Saccharomyces cerevisiae S288C: one gene and its partners. The protein of the gene in region 1 purifies or fractionates together with the protein of each later gene. This does not show direct contact. Each region holds a gene or a part of one and is shown on either strand. Other genes may lie near its edges. The genes, in order: PSA1, SDS24, SAM2 and GRX3.

Region 1 (4,511 bases):
CCAATATATCAAGAAATATTCCAAATGTAGTGAATTCTATGAAGCAAATGGCTAGCATATACAACGATCTTCATGAACAGCATGACAACGAAATAAAAAGTTTGCAAAAAACTTTAAAAAGCATTTCTAAGACGAAAATACAGGTAAGCCTAAAAACTTTAGAGGTATTGAAAGAGAGCAGTAAAGATGAAAACGGCGAAGCTCAGACTAATGATGACTTCGAAATTTTATCTCGTCTACAAGAACAAAATACTAAGAAATTGAGAAAAAGGCTCATACGATACAAACGGTTGATAAAACAAAAGCTGGAATACAGGCAAACGGTTTTATTGAACAAATTAATAGAAGATGAAACTCAGGCTACCACCAATAACACAGTTGAGAAAGATAATAATACGCTGGAAAGGTTGGAATTGGCTCAAGAACTAACGATGTTGCAATTACAAAGGAAAAACAAATTGAGTTCCTTGGTGAAGAAATTTGAAGACAATGCCAAGATTCATAAATATAGACGGATTATCAGGGAAGGTACGGAAATGAATATTGAAGAAGTAGATAGTTCGCTGGATGTAATACTACAGACATTGATAGCCAACAATAATAAAAATAAGGGCGCAGAACAGATCATCACAATCTCAAACGCGAATAGTCATGCATAAAATATACATAAATAGAGGAACTTTACATGTATCCATATACTGAAAAATAGATAAAACAATGAGATAATATTTATTAACTTCTACGTAAATAAAAAGTTACATAAGGATCAACCTTTTTTTCTTTATTTTCTTTTTTTTTTTTATTTTTCATTTTCAATTACAAACTAAGACATAACAGTAAGCAGTGCTTTTTCTGTGCATGTTTTCCTCTTTTTATAATGATATTGGCTAAAATAAAATTAACAAAAACAGATGAGTGATATAGATTATATTCATTACAGTTCGTTTTCCTAACTCACATAATAATAGCTTCCTTTGGAACATTATCGGAGATAGACTTATGAGGTAAGACTTTACCACCGTTGATGTAGATTTCGTCCTTAACTTCAACGTCGTCACCCAAGACAGTGACACCTTCCAAACGACACCATTGACCAACGGTAGAGTTCCAGCCTACGATGGTAGATTTGACCAAGGAGTGGTTCTTGATGGTGGAGTTGCACAAAACAACAGATCTGGTGATTCTAACACCATCACCGATGGTGACATTAGGACCGATAACCACGTCTGGGCCAATCTTAGCAGTGGAGGAAATCTTAGCGGTTGGGTCGATCAAGGCATTACCAACAATGTTGGCACCTGTAGCCAATTTTTTTGGTTGTCTCTTGGCCAAAGAGTTCAAGTAAAGAACGGTACCAGACAAGAAGTCCTTTGGTTGACCAACATCCATCCAGAAACCTTCCAAATCGAAGGAATATAGTTGTTTTTCTTCGACCAAGATTGGGAAAGTTTCCTTTTCAATTGAAGTTGGCTTCATTTCAATCAAGTCAATGACTTCTGGGTTTAAAATGTACAAACCGGCGTTAATTCTGTTACCAACAAATTCCTTTGGCTTTTCAACAAATCTGTCAATCAAGTTTGGAGTAGCTATATCATGGACAATGACACCGTATTTAGAAGGTTCGTCGACCTTGGTAGCAACAATGGTACCTTTACCACCGTGAGCTTTGTGGAAGTCAGCCAATTCCTTGAATGGATATTCGCAAATGACGTCGGAGTTTAGGACGAAAAATGGAGAGTTGTCCTTCTTCAAAACATCTTCAGCCAATTTCAATGGACCTGCAGTACCTAATGGTTCAGTTTCTACAGAGAAAGTGATGTTAACACCATATTCCTTTTCGTACTTCTTCAAAGTTTCCACCATGACTTCTGGTCTGTAATTAACAGCAAGAACGATGTCAGTAACACCAGCGTTGGCTAAAGCCTCGATTTGGTGTAAAATCATTGGTCTATTACCGAATTCAACCAGTGGCTTTGGAACGGTCAAAGTTAAAGGTCTCAATCTGGTACCGTAACCACCGACTAAAATTAAACCTTTCATTTTTCAATTATATATGTTTTATTTGTTGAAGTTGTAGCTTGTCTTGTGCTGATAATATTTTGTTTGTATAGTCAACAAAATATTTGGACAGAAGAAAAGAGTTAGCGAATGTAAAGTAGTTTGCACACTTGATGAACGTTATCAAAGTCAAAGAGGTGAGAACAAGATAGACAAAGAAAAAAAAAATACAGTTTTGGAGAAAAGAAAACAAGACTATGTGAAACTTCTAACAATGACGTGAAAAGTCTACTATATATATGTTTACAAGAGCGCCACGAGGCAAGGAAAAAAAGAAAACAAAGCGAGAAACCACCAGCTTACTTTACTACCGGTCAGCTGTGGTTCTGTGTCTGTTCGTCTGTTTGTTTGTTTGTTTGTTTATTGCTGCGCTGTTCATGCTGAAAAACGACAAAAACAAAGAAAAAAAAGTTTTTCAGAGATTGAGATAAAAATAAACGTGGTGGCTCCCGAGGCATTTCTAGCTGGCCAGCAAGTACACGGTGGCCGTTTCTTTTGGCGTTTTTTTTTTCTGTTTTCGCGTTCTTCATGCTGTGCGTTGCTGGTGAGGTGGCGTGGACGGTTTGGTTTAGGCAATGATAGAAAAAGCTATAGTCAGAGTTGCAGGAAAGGACGAAAGTAGTCCATTTGGTGCCGTTATCCAAGGGTCTTGCTCTTAGTCTTGCTTTTCACCCAGCACGCGGTAAGAAGGATCGGGTGCAGCATGAAGAATGCTGACTGTACGCGTTTCGATTTGAAGCTTTAGGATGTTCTGTGGGTTGGGTTGGCTCGATCGACAGTGCGTATAGTGACCTTTGAACTGTACCGGGTGGCACGTCGTGCACAGAATCAGAAGTAGTTATAAAAGATTTGTAATTGCGTATATGCAACCAAGTTTAGGCTTTCTCCGTGCCGTTTTTTAAGGTGAAATGTACTCCTCTTGAAAATGTAAAAAAATGGAGCCTCGCAGAGCAGCTTGCCAAGCAGGTTGATACAAGGTGAGCCGCCGAAACATAACGATAAACGTGGTATAGTTTTCGATTGCCTTTAGTTTGGGTGGTCTCAGTGCTGGCACCTGACGAACTATTCGTAGGCAGGAGAACTTGCATCATGTGGTGTTCTTCCGAGATAGGGATGCCGTTTGGTCCTTACGAAAGTCAATGTTCTGGTACTACTAATTATTAACATAGTTCGTTGTATACACACTCTTTACTTTCATAAGAAATAAAAAGCACGTCTAAGAAATCTCTACGTCTTGGCTGCGGCAAGCAACTGCATAGAAAGCACATAGTAGTAACTCTAAAATGCGAGCTTCATACAGACAATTACATAAATGCAACATAGGCAGCATGGGATCCTGGGTTTCATATCGTCAAAGAAAGCCACCAACTGGCTTTACCATAAAAATACGAAAAGAAGTGCACACATTCTTCTTTTTGGCTCATCACAAGTTCTTCAATTTACTGTCATTACTTTTGTTTCCTTGTCAGATAATGTATGGGTGGTGTGTACACCAAGGTATTTTTTTTTTTACTTGGCAGATCTGCAATGCATAATAGAATGGTAAGGGAACGAGTAACAGACGGGAAGCGAATGCGAACACAAAGAATATAAATTTGAAATCTCCTGTTGCAAAGGATTCTCTAGACATTTACTATCTCAGTGACAATTCTCGAGTGAAACAAGAAATTGAGATGGTAGGTCAGCGCCCATACTTCTTGAATCAATTGGAGGAGCGGATAAAGCAAGTTTCCCCCCTCAATGTAAATCATCTTAAGCAAAATTTTAAAATCTAGGCACATATAAAGAGAAAATGGGAATGATTTTGCTGGATAGGCTACAGTGTTAGGAATGCAGAATTAGGAACTATAGATGATGCGATTAAAGATATTAAACGAGAAGTGACAGTGGTGGCTTCGACAACGGCAGTCGTGCTCGGTCGACAACGTGTATGTTTTTGCCGAGCAGAGCAGGGAAAGTCCTTCTTTCTGCGCGTGAATCAAAACACATTGGTATCGAATTTAACATATCTGGGTGAGGAATGGACAATCCTAATAAAGTACTGGAGGTTTGTCTGTATTTCCAAGTTCTTGCTTGTAGAAACTGCTTTCTTTTCTCTTTTCCTGCAGCGGTCGAACATATGTGATTATTGATTAGCCATTTGTTCCAAGTCATATAGTAGTATTACGTGTTCAGATGCGGTGTTAGCGTATCTTTTTGTTAAATAAAATATCATTGTGCCGTTGCCGCCCTACCTGCCAAGGGTCAAAGAAGGCACCTTTATACGATGCCACCTTTTTATAGTATTCTACTACAGAGTCATCGTTCACCAGTTACTGTTCATTCTACTAAATTAGTATGGCGTGTTGCATAGAAGGAAGCATGAATTACAAGATCAGTAGAACAAAAAGTTCAACTGTTTGGAATTTAGTTGAACATGTGACGAAAGCTCTGCTACTAAGACAGGGGCAAAA
Region 2 (5,037 bases), on another chromosome or scaffold:
GATTTTGTCTGTTTACTACCACTTTTAGAGTTATCAAGGACAATTGCTATCATAAATAGAATTGTTAATCAAAATGATCTAAAACACCCCTAACGAAGGGCGGATAATTGAAAATAAAGCCAGAACATACCTTTTTGGTCCATTTCCAATCGTTTGAATATGGTCGTGGAGGTTAATGCTGTTCGTTTAAATCGTTTCAGAATGCAAAATTAACCGCATCAGTTTCTGCATTGTGTGTACATTCGCCTGACATATTTTGCTTTAATTTTCCACGACAAGAAAAAAAGATATACATATACGCGACAATAGCAAAAGTCAGAGTTTAATAAGTTGAATATACAAAATAGAATATATAAATGTTTTCAGAACAAGTATATACGCTTAAATGTCTACAAAATACTTAAAACCATATAAATGAACAATATTTTCTTTTAGTCATTGTAAAAGATTTTTTTTTTTGAGGGAGAGGGAAACAGCGGGAAAAGACAACGCTGCAAGCCTCACATGGCGATACTGCCTCTCTGTCTTCTTGCGGATTGCGGATCCACTTCTTTATTCCCTGTTTGTTTCCTTGCTAATAAGTTGATGATGTCTGTCAATGAGACCACACCGATCAACTTACCCGTTCTATATTCCTTTTCGAATAGGTTTGGTGTGTTTGTTGAGGAAGCGGGACTTGGTGGTGGGATCGCGATGGCCGAAGAACGTGGGGATGGTGGGTCTTCCATTGCTGTCATCAACGGAGAGTGGGAGTTGAGGGATGTTGAAGAGGATGACTTTGACATTGGAGTCGCACCATTAGCAGACGATTGAGCGGTGGCAGAAACTGCATTGGCTGCAGTATTAGCAGCTGTTAAATTTGTGGATGACGCCGAGGTTGACGACTCCGGCGGTTGTACGATCCATAGTCTATGAGACTTTGTAGCAACTAACTTGGCAAGAGTCCTTGCTAGTGAACTACTGGGGTATACGTGAAAAATGGGGAAAGAATCTTTACCCGTTTCTAATCCTCTGGAGTTTAAAATGACAGAAATGAAATGGCGACATGTCTTATGTAGTAAGGGGTATTGGGAGGTTCTTGTGACATGTTTTACGTCCGTTACCGATATGTTACCTAGCAAATTACCTTGTTTGTCGATGACTGCAATGGAAGAAATTCTTTCCACATGCATTTTATAAAGGCCCATGATTAAGGGCTCCTCGCCTTGAATAGAGATGACACGGGATTGTCTTGAAGTTGGCTTAGATTGAATATTGAGAACACCGATGTGCAAATCTTGTAATGAGGAGTTTAATAGAGGTTCTAAGCTTGTAAAAGATCTAGCGTTGTCCCAAAGATACTTTATCAAACGACGTTGGGACAAAATACCTTTAACTTTGGTCATCTCTTCGTTTGTTATCGCTACACGATGGACACCCGAACCGAGAATCCCCATCACCGTGGACAAACTCTCATTCTCCGGCAGCTTATAGAACGGATTCTTAGGAGTTAGTTTCACCATTTCGCCCACTGGTACGGGTTTTCCATTCTGGCAATCTGCAGTAAGCTGTTTGTTGCTGACGGTGATTTTATTCAAAACCAGCAAAAGGTACGAATTAAGGTCATTGTAGTCGAAAGTAAAACAGTTCATGTCGCCGGGGAAAGATTCCACGGGAATAGAGTTTAGATGATACTTGATCAAAGTGTTGAATGCCTCCTCTACCGATATGGAACCTGGAACAAAAATAAGCTTATTCTGTTCGATCAATTGCGACAACGGTATGTGTTGCCATTTTTGGGCGTGCACACATGACAGACACTGCGATGGCGTCTGGGTCATAGGAACAGCTGATAGTTTGAATTGAGGCTTTTCATCGCGCAAGGGGGCGGGTGTAGCAGCACAACCTGGACCAGGCGCTGCCGCTGTTGCTGTTGGCGGCGTGGACTCTTCTGGTTGTTCCTTGTCGTCTGTATCGTTCACTTGAACGTGGGGCAGCAATGGCGGAGTAGACAGCATCTCCACAATGGATGCATGTCTAGAAGTTGGAAGGTTGTTGGAAGAATTGCTTTGGCTTGGAGGGAACGTGTTCGAAGTAGAAGCCATGTTGTGTGAAGGAAGAAACGGTAATTGTTCTATAAGTGTTTATAGTTATTATAGTTGGGTTGTGTGCCTGATCTTGCCTGATAAGATAGAAGAAAAGTTGATCTGAACAGGCATTGTTGTTCGTTCTCCAACCCCTATATATGCGAAATATATACAAAATCCCAGTAGATTTTCTCTACACAATAGAAAGGACGCGCCCCTTAAAAGAGGAGGCCCTGTCGCTCAAGACGAGCAGTACTCGCTAAGCAACCGTTCTCTGGGAGGGAACTGCAAGGAACAGTTCTGTTCTTGAAACATGACCTTGAAAAGATCCAGCAGACGTTTTACGTCGATGTTGTGGCAGTGCTGAATGCCGAAGAGGTCTGTGCAGCGTCTGGCCCAATCCATGCGGTACTTGACATCCTTGTCGTCTGGTGCCAGCAGCCTAATTCCTCTTCTCAGCTCACCTAGTTTGACGACAGCGTCCTCCAGCGCCAGATCCCCCATTTGTGTGAATAAGTTACGGATCTCATCTCTTACTAGAGCGCCAAAGCGCGGAGAAAGGCCGTTGGTAGAGATCAGAATCTGTAGACGGTCTCCTATCTCCAGGTTGGCGCCGAAATAAAAGTCACAGAGATCAGGTTTGTCCGCCACATTGACCAGCTGCTGCTTACCGAATCTTTCCTTACAAAGGTGATATATTCTTGCGCTTTCAGGGTGGTCGGGTATACAGGTCATTATTATGTACCACGCGTCGTTCTCGTCTTCTAGGTCGAGGTATTCGTCTTTGAAGTCACTGCGGATGTACTCGTAAATTTCATTCTTCGTGGGGTCCCAGTTCGGATTGATAAAGCGTTTAGCGTCTTCTCTGTAGTCGGGCTGATCCTCGTTCTGGATGAATTTTCCAAACTTCGGAATAATGGATTTGTGTAGGTCAGGAGATACTAAAGTCAGCTTGCAACCTGTAGGTATCAGCTTATATAACCTTGTCAAGCCGACTTCTCCGCCTCCGATTAGTAGTATTTTCTTGTCTTTTAATTGATGGGCTAGCTGTAGCGATTTGACCATTTTTTATCCTATTATACACTCTCTTATTTTGCACACTTCATGAACAATGTATGGCAAAAATGTCTGGCACAGCCTTTTATTGAAGTAAATGTATATATATATATATGTGTGTGTGTGTGTCCATCATTTACATGCTACTGCCCGTAGTCATCGGACTTTGTAGCGATTTTCACATTTTTTTTCCGTCAGCATGGCTATTATAACACGTGAAATTATGACGCCAGCTTTTCGCATATATAGTTAATATAAAACACTTTGAAACGGAACTGTTTGAGTAAATAAATGTACTTAGATAGATAAAAATAGATAGGTAGTATAGAGGAAAAACAAATTTGATTAGAATTATGGATCGACAATTGACTAGGTTGTAACTGAAATGGCATTAATAGAAGAAACGTAAGAACGTAGAGACGCAGATAAAACTGCGGACAAGATTAAAATTTTCTTTTTTTGTCTTTTGTAATCAATGTAGAAGAGAAGGATGAATTGGCGGAACATTGTTCCTATTAGGATGCTTGTTCATGATGCTCGATTTCGAATTATTGGAATTCGGGGCTATATTTAAGGGAGGAGTCATCATCCTGGACACGTCATACATATTTGCACCGTTTCCCATTCCGTATGGTACTGGATTTACGTTCATGTTCATGTTCATGTTAGAATTCATGATCATGTTTGTGTTAGGGTTTGTGTTCATGCTTGAGGCCGTTTTATTGCTGTTGCCATTGGGCAGTTGCATAGAAATTGACATCGCGTTCCCAAATTGAGGTAAGTTATTAGTAGCATTGGAGAATTGGTTGCCCGTCGGATGGAGCGAGTATGAGGGACTTGAATATTGGTGTGGGTACAGTGCACCGTCTTCTTGCATATACGGGACATTAGATCTCTGCAGATTAACGAGGTCGCTATGGCTGCCATTCTTGTTCCTGTGATAATCGTAATTATTGTAGTTGTAATAGTTGTTGTGCGCCATTTGCTCCATAGAAAAGTTACCATCCTGTTGCTGCTGCTGCTGCTGCTGCTGCTGCTGATGTAAAAAGAGTCGCCTTTTATCTTCCGCATATTGTTCAAGAATTTGTTTGGAGTTATCGACTGAAGAAGCCGCAGATGGCGCTCTCAGGCCATTTGAGGACATATATTGGCTTGCCCCCATGATGGTCGAATTTGTTTTAGCATTTGAACTGGATGGGCGTCCCCATGATAATCTTATTGGACTGCCGCCCACAATAAAGCCTTGCAGGCCTTGTATTGAAGCTTCAGCATCAATCCTCTTCTCGAATTTAACAAACCCACAGTTTTTACCATTGGGAATCCTGACATTTAGAATGGGTCCAAAGGGTTTGAATAGTGAACGTAATTGAAATTCGGTAGTTTTTGGTACCAGTCCTCCCACAAAAACAGTAGTATTAGTGGGGTCTGTATTATAGGTGTTTGAAGGTAGTGAATCATTTACACGCATGTTTGAAATGCCGCCCTCATTCAAATGCATTGGAGGCGCGTTATGCAAGGCATTGAGAGGAAGCATGTTGCTATTGTTTTGAATGAGATTATTTGCAGTCTTAATCAAGAGAGGGCCATTATTATCCTCCTGATCTAGCTGCTGATGCTGTTGCTGCAATTGTTGTTGCTGTTGTTGTTGTTCCTGTAACTGCAGCATCATATTATTTCTTGGCGTGGCATAAGCGACTCTTAAGGCCCTTCCTTGAAACCATTTCCCACTCATCTCAATCAGTGCCCTGCGGCGCTCATCTTCATCACCGAATCTGACAAATCCAAAACAACGAGATGATCCTGTTAAAGGGTCAGTCATCACGCGGACGGTTTTAACAGATTTGAACCTCGTTTGGAAAAGAGATAACAAATCAGCTTCAGTGGCGGTGGGAGAAAGATCACCAACAAACAAGGA
Region 3 (4,716 bases), 1.1 Mb from region 1:
AAATTTGTCCCAGTTGAGCATTCACCTCGTACAGAACAGATCTCAAAACCATTACTTATTGCATCTCCTGCTCTTGTGAAAAACTCCCCCATTAGTTATAGAACAACACCCCAAACATCTTTCGTTATTAATCAGCCATCAACTCCAAAGAAACTGAAGCGTAAATCAATTTCATTGAAAAATAACACTATACAAGAGACACCACTTCCTAAAGATAAAATAATTGGGACATTAAGTGCCAGTACTAGGAGTGGTGGCATTAATGAAGAAGAATCTTTCGCAGCAGTTGCAAAAAAAACTAAAGAGCTGTCTTCTACAACCGCGATTGTATCTCCTGCACAAAAACGTCTTAAGACTTCATTGAATATTATTCCCGAAATTTCTCGGTCGCTCTCAGAAAGAGGAATTCGGTTTGATGACCTAGTTCATGTGCTATGTAATCATCTTGCATTTTCTAACCTTCAACAAACGCCTTTATCCCAATTGCAAAACATCAATTCCAACACTTCACAATTAAGCAAAGATGAACTAAAAAAGGTCTTGGAGACTATTTCTTGCATTGGTATTATTGTGCGTGAAGGAAAAGATGCGTCTGGCAAGCCATTAGAAGACGAGTATTACTATGATGTTGAAAACGATGATAGCGACGAGAGAAAGATTTTGTATAATTCGTTAAAAGGCAGGAGCCGATTAAGGTCGTGCAGGAAGAAACATAAACAGTATTTCTGGAAGAGGCCGACCAAATAACCTCAAAGACATTCTATATTTCAACCTTATTTCCATAGCATAGTCATATTACCACGTGGAGCATCATGAAAAAAACTGGTAAAACTCGTCAAAAAGTTCTAAAAACATAAAGTAATATTTTCTATATATTTCCGTTGAAGGAGCTAATACATAATCCATACAAAATAGATCATTATGCCTAGATGTTATTCTATTGGTGTTTGTCAAGTTTAAGAATGTTTAAAACTTTTCTATTGTATCATTTTCTAGTAATTACATGACTCGAGTTGAGCGAATCAAACGATAAGGCATCGTCTTCTCAATATAGGGAGGTGATCGGGACCAGCCTAGCATAAAGAAAGGGATTGAAATAATTATAAAAATCAAAATAAAACATTTATTGTCTAAATGTTTAAAATTCCAATTTCTTTGGTTTTTCCCATGAGTACTCTTGATTAGTGAAGTGACCATAAGAAGCGGTTGGTAAGTAAATTGGTCTAGCCAAATCTAATTCCTTTACTAACACACCTGGTCTCAAGTCGAAGTTCTTCTTAATAATTTCAATGATTTCGTCATCTGATTTTGTAGCTGTACCATAGGTGTCCACATGTAAAGACAATGGTTCAGCAATACCAATAGCATATGAAAATTGGACTTGGACTCTCTTACACAAACCAGCGGCAACTAGAGACTTGGCAACCCATCTAGCAGCGTAAGCAGCGGAACGATCGACCTTGGAATAGTCCTTACCGGAGAAGGCACCACCACCGACGGATGAGGCACCACCGTAAGCGTCGACAATAATCTTTCTACCGGTCAAACCAGCGTCACCTTGAGGACCACCGATGACGAATCTACCGGATGGTTGGATGAAATATTTGGTATTTTCGTCTAACATATCCTTTGGTATGACCTTTTCAACAATATCTTTTTGAAGTTGAGTTCTCAAGTCAGCGGTGGAAATTTCATCAGCATGTTGAGCAGAAATAACAACGGTATCTATCCTCTTTGGAACCCATCTACCATTGTCGTCTTCGTATTCGACAGTGACTTGAGTCTTTGTGTCTGGTCTCAACCATGGGAGAGAACCATCTCTTCTAGCATCTGCCATAGCCATGTTCAATTTGTGAGCCAAAAGAATGGTCAATGGTAACCCTTCTGGAGTTTCGTCTGTAGCGTAACCAAACATTATACCTTGGTCACCAGCACCTAAGTCTTCTAAGCTCTTTTCATAGTGCAGACCTTGAGCGATATCTGGAGATTGTTGTTCGATAGCTACTAAAACATTACATGTCTTGTAGTCGAAACCCTTGGCAGAATCGTCATAACCAATCTTCTTGATGGTATCTCTTACTATTTGTTGGTAGTCAAGTCTAGCTTTGGTGGTAATTTCACCGAAAACCATAATCATACCAGTTTTGGCAGCTGTTTCACAGGCAACCTTGGAGAATGGATCTTGTTCTAAACAAGCGTCCAAAATAGCATCAGAAACTTGGTCACAAATCTTGTCTGGGTGACCTTCACCGACGGATTCAGAGGTAAATAAGAAAGTTTTGCTCTTGGACATGATTATGTTTGTATATTGTCGTAAATACTGGATATATTGAAGACAGTTATGTTTTTTAAACCTTTTAAAAAAAGAAAAAAGGGGCAGAAGCAAGATTCTCGAAAATACTTTGTAGAAAGGACAGATATAACCTCCTTCTTATACGCCTCAAGACGACAGATGACTACCAAAAAGAAATCAAGATCTCCTTGCATATGAAGATTTGACGTCGTTTACAAGAGCTATCTCAGAAATTTCATCGGTATTTTGGCTTCGGTTAATATCTGGCGTGGACCCATCGGTGGAAAAACGCCACAGTTTTCAAGCTCAATTATAGTCACGTGGGTAGAAATATTACACTGCACCGCAAGAAAGTACGACCAGATGAATCACATGTGAAGATGTTAACAAGTTTACATACTTTTTGATCAGGTAAGCTATGCATAATGTCTTAGTTTTAGTTATGTAAAGAAATGCAAACTTTTAGTGCATATTTTATCTTATATAATAGAGCAAAGCTCGCCAGTGCTCCAGTTGTTACCTGAGAATGAAGCTTGATCGGCTTTTATTCTTTCCTGATAGGACTCTGTAAGTGTTACTAAACACTAACCGGTGAAGGAAGTATGTCTCTTTTCGCCAAGTTTGTAAATGTCCATTTCCAGCAACAATAAATGACTAAAAATGCTAGAACAGCTCCAGAGACAACATCGTACCAATGATGTCTGTGATCGATAACCCTTGAAACCATTACTACTAGAGCTAATAAAGGGCACCAAATGCAACTTCTTGTATTGCGTGTGGTGAAAACCCTTTGCCAAAGATATGTAAAGCCCATGGTACTGACTATGAAACTTGAATGTCCGCTTGGAGTGCTTTTTAAGCCTTCGTATAGAATCCATTTGTTAGTCTGCTTGCAAATGTCCAAGCCAAAAACCAAAGAATCTGAATCACTCATCTTTTGGAGGTCAGGTATACATCTATCAACAAAGTCAGGCCTCAAGTTTCCTATAATCAACTTTAAGGCGCCTGTTAGGGCAGCATTTATGCTTATAATCAGCATCAGACATAGAATGCTAGTATGCATGAAGTGAAAATCGTTCGAGATTCCGTCCGGCCTCTCTCTTAGTCTCTTTACTCTATTCTTCTTCAGTAAGTCCTTGTCAAACATGCAGGTCCAGAAGACGACCATGTTACTCAGTCCAACACTCAAAATCAAACATTCTAGTGGGCCCACGAGTTCGTTAGGTACATAACGTTTTGATATACTGGGGTCATCAAGACTAAATTCGATGTTTTGGCCCCTAGGTACCAGGGATATCTCCGAATAGAGGAATAATATCGTACATAGACCAATTATCATGTACTGAAAGTAGTATAGCTTAAAATACTCCTTATGTTTCTCATCCGCCATGACAGAGATCATCCTTGGTAGAATATGACGAGTTTCCTTAGGCGTTGATGTAGGAGTTTCTCACTCTTGAAAGCAGTAAAATCACTTCAAAGAATGGCTTTCTTTCTTCCCTTAAAGACTATAAGTTGTCAGGTTTCACGTGGCAACTACAAGAAAAAAAATTCTTACGCGTGAACCAAAACAAAAATTATCAACCAATACATGTCGACAAATAATGAATTAGAGCAATAGCCACGATAACAGACCTTGATTAAATGTAAACTACATATAAGTTTATAAGGGTTGGTTGATTCCATTATTTTTTGTTTTTTATATAAAGCCTATGAAAAATAAATGGAAGCGGCTGTTAGAATATAAAATAGAAGTTGAAACAACAAAAATGTAAGAAAGTTGCCAACAATAAATCTCAAACTTGAAAGTGTGGATCGAGGAATATGGACAATCTTTAAAAAATTTTTAGTCCCGTAGTTTTTCGAATTTTTCCTTACCAGTGACCATGAAACCATGATTGGGAGACGTATAAGTAATTTTTATCAAAGTTAAACAGAATAATGAACATTTTCTTCTATTTCTCCCTGTGAAGTTTTCATATAGAAAAAAACATAAGGGAAAGAAAATATTGATAATAGAAAGATAGTACCAAATTGAATTGGCAGGAAAATAGGTAAACAACGAACAGAAACGATAAAACAAAATAACATAAAAAAAGTAGACAAAAATAAAAACAAAAACAAAAACAAACAAAAACAAAAACAATGAAAAAATGTTAACAAAATAATGGCAAATGGTTGTCTTTTCTTTTAGAAAATTTATAGTTACAACAAGGAAATAACAGATCATTTAATGAAATAATTCGTGAACTAATTCTTCATACACAGCAATCTGAAAGTTGTCGAGTTCAATTTCGTTCAACGGAGGTGCAAAATTAACTCTGTTATTCCCCCTGTTCTGCGAAAACTCATTGACATTCATTAAATCTTCAGCATTGTAATTTTTTACTATGTTTTGATATAATTTCAGCTCTTTTTGTTGT
Region 4 (4,466 bases), 290 kb from region 1:
TCGCTGGAGTAGGCTTCTGGACCTTCTTTGACGGTGTGCCAGAAGGTACCTGTTTTGAGAAAAAAGATAACAAACTCGATTGCTTCATTTTCTTTTGAGAAGATGTGGAGCCATTTTCGAAGTGTGCAGTCTTAGAAGTTTTAGGGGTAGCTGGGGCCATTTTGGAGTTCAAATTGGCTTTGTCAAAATTAACTAGTTGCTCCAATTAAAAAATCTTATCTGTTAGCAAAGAAGGCTCCAAGGAAAAGCTCTTATTAGTTTCAACAGATGTAATTTCAAATATTTTCTCTATATGGCGATGACCTATACATGAATTTATGAAAAAGTGAGACGCGTATCAGCTACTGCTCACGCGTTTATTTTCTCCGGGCAATGGTTGTTCAAAAAGCCAAACTTAACCAGAAGCCATTCATTATGTCACACATATAAAAATGCTTGCATACCATTAGTTGGAAATGGAGACTTTTCTGTTTCAATTTACACTAAATACATCTATTTATTTAAGATTGGAGAGCATGCTGCAAAAAATCAGGGTCTTCCTCCAAGGATTCCTTGATAATGTCTAAACCGCCTTGAAACTCCCCATTTATATAAAGTTGAGGGAAAGTTGGCCATTCAGAAAACTTTTTCAAGTTTTGTCTAACAGATTCGTCTCTTAATATATCAAAGAAGCCAAATCTTACTTGATGTTCTCTCAAGATACCCACAAGTTGTCTCGAAAACCCGCATTTAGGTTCAGAGGGGCTCCCCTTCATAAATAACATTACCGGCGCGGCATTGACCAATTTAGTCAATCTAGCGTTTATTTGCTCCTCAGTTTCTTCTTCCTCTTCTTCGTCGTCATCGTCTTCATCATTATGACTCCCCTCATTTACGTTTGCATTTTCCATAGTATGAGTTTGTGATGATCCGGAATTGACTGAGTTCTTGCAGTCTTCTAATAAAGACACATACTCCTTTGGATCCGCGCCGGATAATTCTTTTAAGATTGTCCCTTTGTGAATTATGATAAAATATGGAACAGCTGAGATTTCAAAAAGTTCTGAAATTTCCGAGTTTTCGTCCGCATCAATGGATAAGAAAGAGACGTTGGAATTGGAAGGCTCATTACTAATGGCCTCAAAAACCTGCTTTAATGCTTTGCATGGTTCTGCCCAACTGGTATGGAAATAAAGCACGATTAACTTGTCGCCGGCCGCAGTGGTAGTTAGGTAAGTAAATTGCTCTTGATCGTTAATTTCAATAACAGGCATTTCCTGAAAAAGTTTTGCTGCTGTGTAATATCTTGCTTGGTGGCGTTTATAACAGTACGAGGTGTAGTTAAAAGAAAATGCAGATGGAACCTGAAAAGAACACATTTAGTCTTTGAAATATATTTTAATGACCTCTTAGTTTGGCATCTCATGACCCGGCACACATTCTCTGAAAAAAAAAAAAAGTAACTGATGGTTCAACAGAGAAGCCACAGTTAAAAAAGGTCCTACCCGGATTCGAACCGGGGTTGTCCGGATCAAAACCGAAAGTGATAACCACTACACTATAGGACCGTAACAACTGTGTATTGTTGTATTACGGGCTCGAGTAATACCGCAGTGTCTTGACAATCCTAATATAAACAGTCTTAGGGAAGTAACCAGTTGTCAAAACAGTTTATCAGATTAATTCACGGAATGTCACTTATCTTATATATTATATAAAATATGAATCATACTAAGTGGTGGAAGCGCGGAATCTCGGATCTAAACTAATTGTTCAAGCATTTATACGTTTGGGTAGTTCAGCTAGGGAAGGCCGTGTTTTATCTCATGTTGTTCGTTTTGTTATTGAGATATATGTGGGTAATTAGATAATTGTTGGGATTCCATTGTTGATAAAGGCTATAATATTAGGTATACAGAATATACTAGAAGTTCTCCTCGAGGATTTAGGAATCCATAAAAGGGAATCTGCAATTCTACACAATTCTATAAATATTATTATCATCGTTTTATATGTTAATATTCATTGATCCTATTACATTATCAATCCTTGCGTTTCAGCTTCCACTAATTTAGATGACTATTTCTCATCATTTGCGTCATCTTCTAACACCGTATATGATAATATACTAGTAACGTAAATACTAGTTAGTAGATGATAGTTGATTTTTATTCCAACATACCACCCATAATGTAATAGATCTAATGAATCCATTTGTTTGTTAATAGTTTAAATGTTTTTATCGGAAGAGGTTTTGTCATCACATCAGCAATGTTCTTCTTGGTCTCGATGTAGTATACGTATAAATTATTACCTGATACTTCATCTCTAAGTCTCATTGCCTTTGTGCCAAAAAATCTGTTTCTAAATTTCTCTTCATTTGTAGACTTAATTATACTGATCGTTGATCTACTATCAGTAAGTGAGCCTTTAATAATTGGTTTCTTGTTAAGTTCTTGCACAAGGTGACTGAGGTTATTCAATAGCGGAATAGCTTCACTGACTGCGTGTATTTCTGCTTCTGTAGTTGAAGTGCATGTTAACGAAGCCTTTGTCGACTTTCCTCCAATCACTTTTCCGTTGAGTAGGAAAATGTTACCAATTTGTGACTTGTAATATGGTTGGTTACCATATGAAGCATCGCTTATTGCGACTAGTTTATTATCTGGCTTGGTAGGTTTGTTTTTGTGCCATATTAATTGTTTATCTCTAGTGTCCCACATGAATTGTATTAACTCATATGTCATGTCTAAAACTTGCCTAGAGGGGAATAGTATATGTTGAGCAAGTGTGTTGATGTAGTATAGTAAGTCAAATCTAAATTTATATCCAACATATGAAGCTAGACCAATCAACTTTTGCATTTCATGCACTTTCTCTTTGTATTCATCTTCATCTATTTCTAGTTCATCCTGGTCTATATAATGACCTGGTTGACCTGGAGCTCTAAGTTTCTTTCCTTTTGGGTTCAAAGGTACGTTTAGTTTGGGTAATTTTTCTGTCAAGGATTTTTCCATACCTAATTTCATGTACTTGCTTCTTTGATATTTGATCTCTAATCCAAGTATGTCGTACTGAATTTCGTTATCACCTTCACCCAGATTTATTATCTTTGTATCGTATTGTTTCTTGAGTGTTGTTATGATTTTCTTATTTGCATTTAAGTCTTTGCTGAACAATATCATATCATCAACGAATAAGCAAATTGTTACTTGACTATTCTTAAATACGCATGACCATCCACGAACTTCTTCCATACCACACTGTTTTATCAGGTATGATTTGATAGTTTCGTACCAGTTCGCTCCACTTTGTTTCAATCCATAAAGTGATTTCTTCAAACGTATCAACTTATCATTCATTCCTAAATGTGGTGGAGGTCTTATGTATAATTCTTCTTTGATGTCTGCATACAAATATGCCGAAGATATGTCTAATTGTGTAATATAGTAGTTATTGTCTAATGCAAGTGACAGGGATGTCATTAATGCATAGTGATGTACGGTATTGGATTGCATGCCTGAGTCGTAAGTGTCAGGATGCTGAATATCACCTCTTGCAACAAATCTAGCTTTATGAGTACCGTCACGTTTCCTGTTGAAGATAAACATTGAATTTATTACTCTTTTAGGGTCTATTTCTTTTCTGTCATAATATTTGTCAGTGTCCCAAGTATTCATTTTCAATAGTTGGTTGACTTCTTTGTGGTATGCTTCGATATATTTTTCCTTTTCTTTAATATCTTTATTATAGGTGATTGCCTCATCGTATCTTAAGGTTGTCCGTATTGGTTTGATTGATTTTACTGCTTTTACAGCTGCAATCAGGTGAATTCGTTTCTTCGATCTCGGAGGTTCTAAACTACGCATATTCTTAGTATTCCATGTGTCTCGTGATACCTTAATTTCAGTTTCATTATCTTCTAATGATCTTTTCTTACTGTTGATAGTAGTATAGGCATTAGAGTCACCAATACCACCCAAACTGGAATTAGTTTGATGAGAATTTATCGGTGGGAGTTCTTTAAATGGGTCAGGGAATTCGGTAGGAGATTCTGGAGGTAGATCAGGGAGTGGGAGATCAGCGATGATAGATTCCTCGGTATTCTGTTCAGAAACAGTAGTTGGCGTTTTGATAGGAACAATATTGTGCGATGAATTATTTTCCGGTGGAGAAGCATCGATTGAAGGTGAACGGTGTATAATCCTTTTCTCAGTCTCTTGGTCACTTATCTGCGGAACAGTTTTGTTGTTGGTACCACCCGTACTGGATATTGGTACGTTTGTATGATTAGTCTCATTTTCACTGTACGAGTCTGAGTGTCTGAAATCTTTAGATTTACTGGCGTGCGACGACTCATGTGTGTTAGATTGGGACATGGGAGCAAGTAAAGGAACATTTAATTTATGCATACCACCCGAACCGGTACTCTCGATATTGGAAATTTGGGGGGTGCTAGATCTCTTCTTTGATGGAAGAATATTAGA

What was found.
Region 2: the proteins of PSA1 (region 1) and SDS24 purify together in Saccharomyces cerevisiae (affinity purification with mass spectrometry, with the first as the bait; one large-scale study listed by BioGRID). This does not show direct contact.
Region 3: the proteins of PSA1 (region 1) and SAM2 purify together in Saccharomyces cerevisiae (affinity purification with mass spectrometry, with the first as the bait; one large-scale study listed by BioGRID). This does not show direct contact.
Region 4: the proteins of PSA1 (region 1) and GRX3 purify together in Saccharomyces cerevisiae (affinity purification with mass spectrometry, with the first as the bait; one large-scale study listed by BioGRID). This does not show direct contact.

What each region holds. Positions count from the first base shown.
Region 1 is NC_001136.10:354,720-359,230, forward strand, and holds PSA1 (mannose-1-phosphate guanylyltransferase), read right to left. Parts: upstream 2,041-4,511; coding exon 955-2,040; downstream 1-954. Other genes in the region: transcription factor MBP1, read left to right, coding at 1-659. UniProt on the Saccharomyces cerevisiae protein: Involved in cell wall synthesis where it is required for glycosylation. Involved in cell cycle progression through cell-size checkpoint.
Region 2 is NC_001134.8:648,462-653,498, reverse strand, and holds SDS24 (Sds24p), read right to left. Parts: upstream 2,085-5,037; coding exon 501-2,084; downstream 1-500. Other genes in the region: HPC2 (Hpc2p), read right to left, coding at 1-46, 131-143; bifunctional precorrin-2 dehydrogenase/sirohydrochlorin ferrochelatase MET8, read right to left, coding at 2,307-3,131; NGR1 (Ngr1p), read right to left, coding at 3,595-5,037. UniProt on the Saccharomyces cerevisiae protein: Involved in DNA replication and cell separation during budding.
Region 3 is NC_001136.10:1,452,172-1,456,887, forward strand, and holds SAM2 (methionine adenosyltransferase SAM2), read right to left. Parts: upstream 2,294-4,716; coding exon 1,139-2,293; downstream 1-1,138. Other genes in the region: PLM2 (Plm2p), read left to right, coding at 1-747; phosphatidate phosphatase LPP1, read right to left, coding at 2,871-3,695; SPG3 (Spg3p), read right to left, coding at 4,140-4,523; PSP1 (Psp1p), read right to left, coding at 4,524-4,716. UniProt on the Saccharomyces cerevisiae protein: Catalyzes the formation of S-adenosylmethionine from methionine and ATP. The reaction comprises two steps that are both catalyzed by the same enzyme: formation of S-adenosylmethionine (AdoMet) and triphosphate, and subsequent hydrolysis of the triphosphate.
Region 4 is NC_001136.10:643,678-648,143, forward strand, and holds GRX3 (monothiol glutaredoxin GRX3), read right to left. Parts: upstream 1,254-4,466; coding exon 501-1,253; downstream 1-500. Other genes in the region: mismatch repair ATPase MSH6, read right to left, coding at 1-160.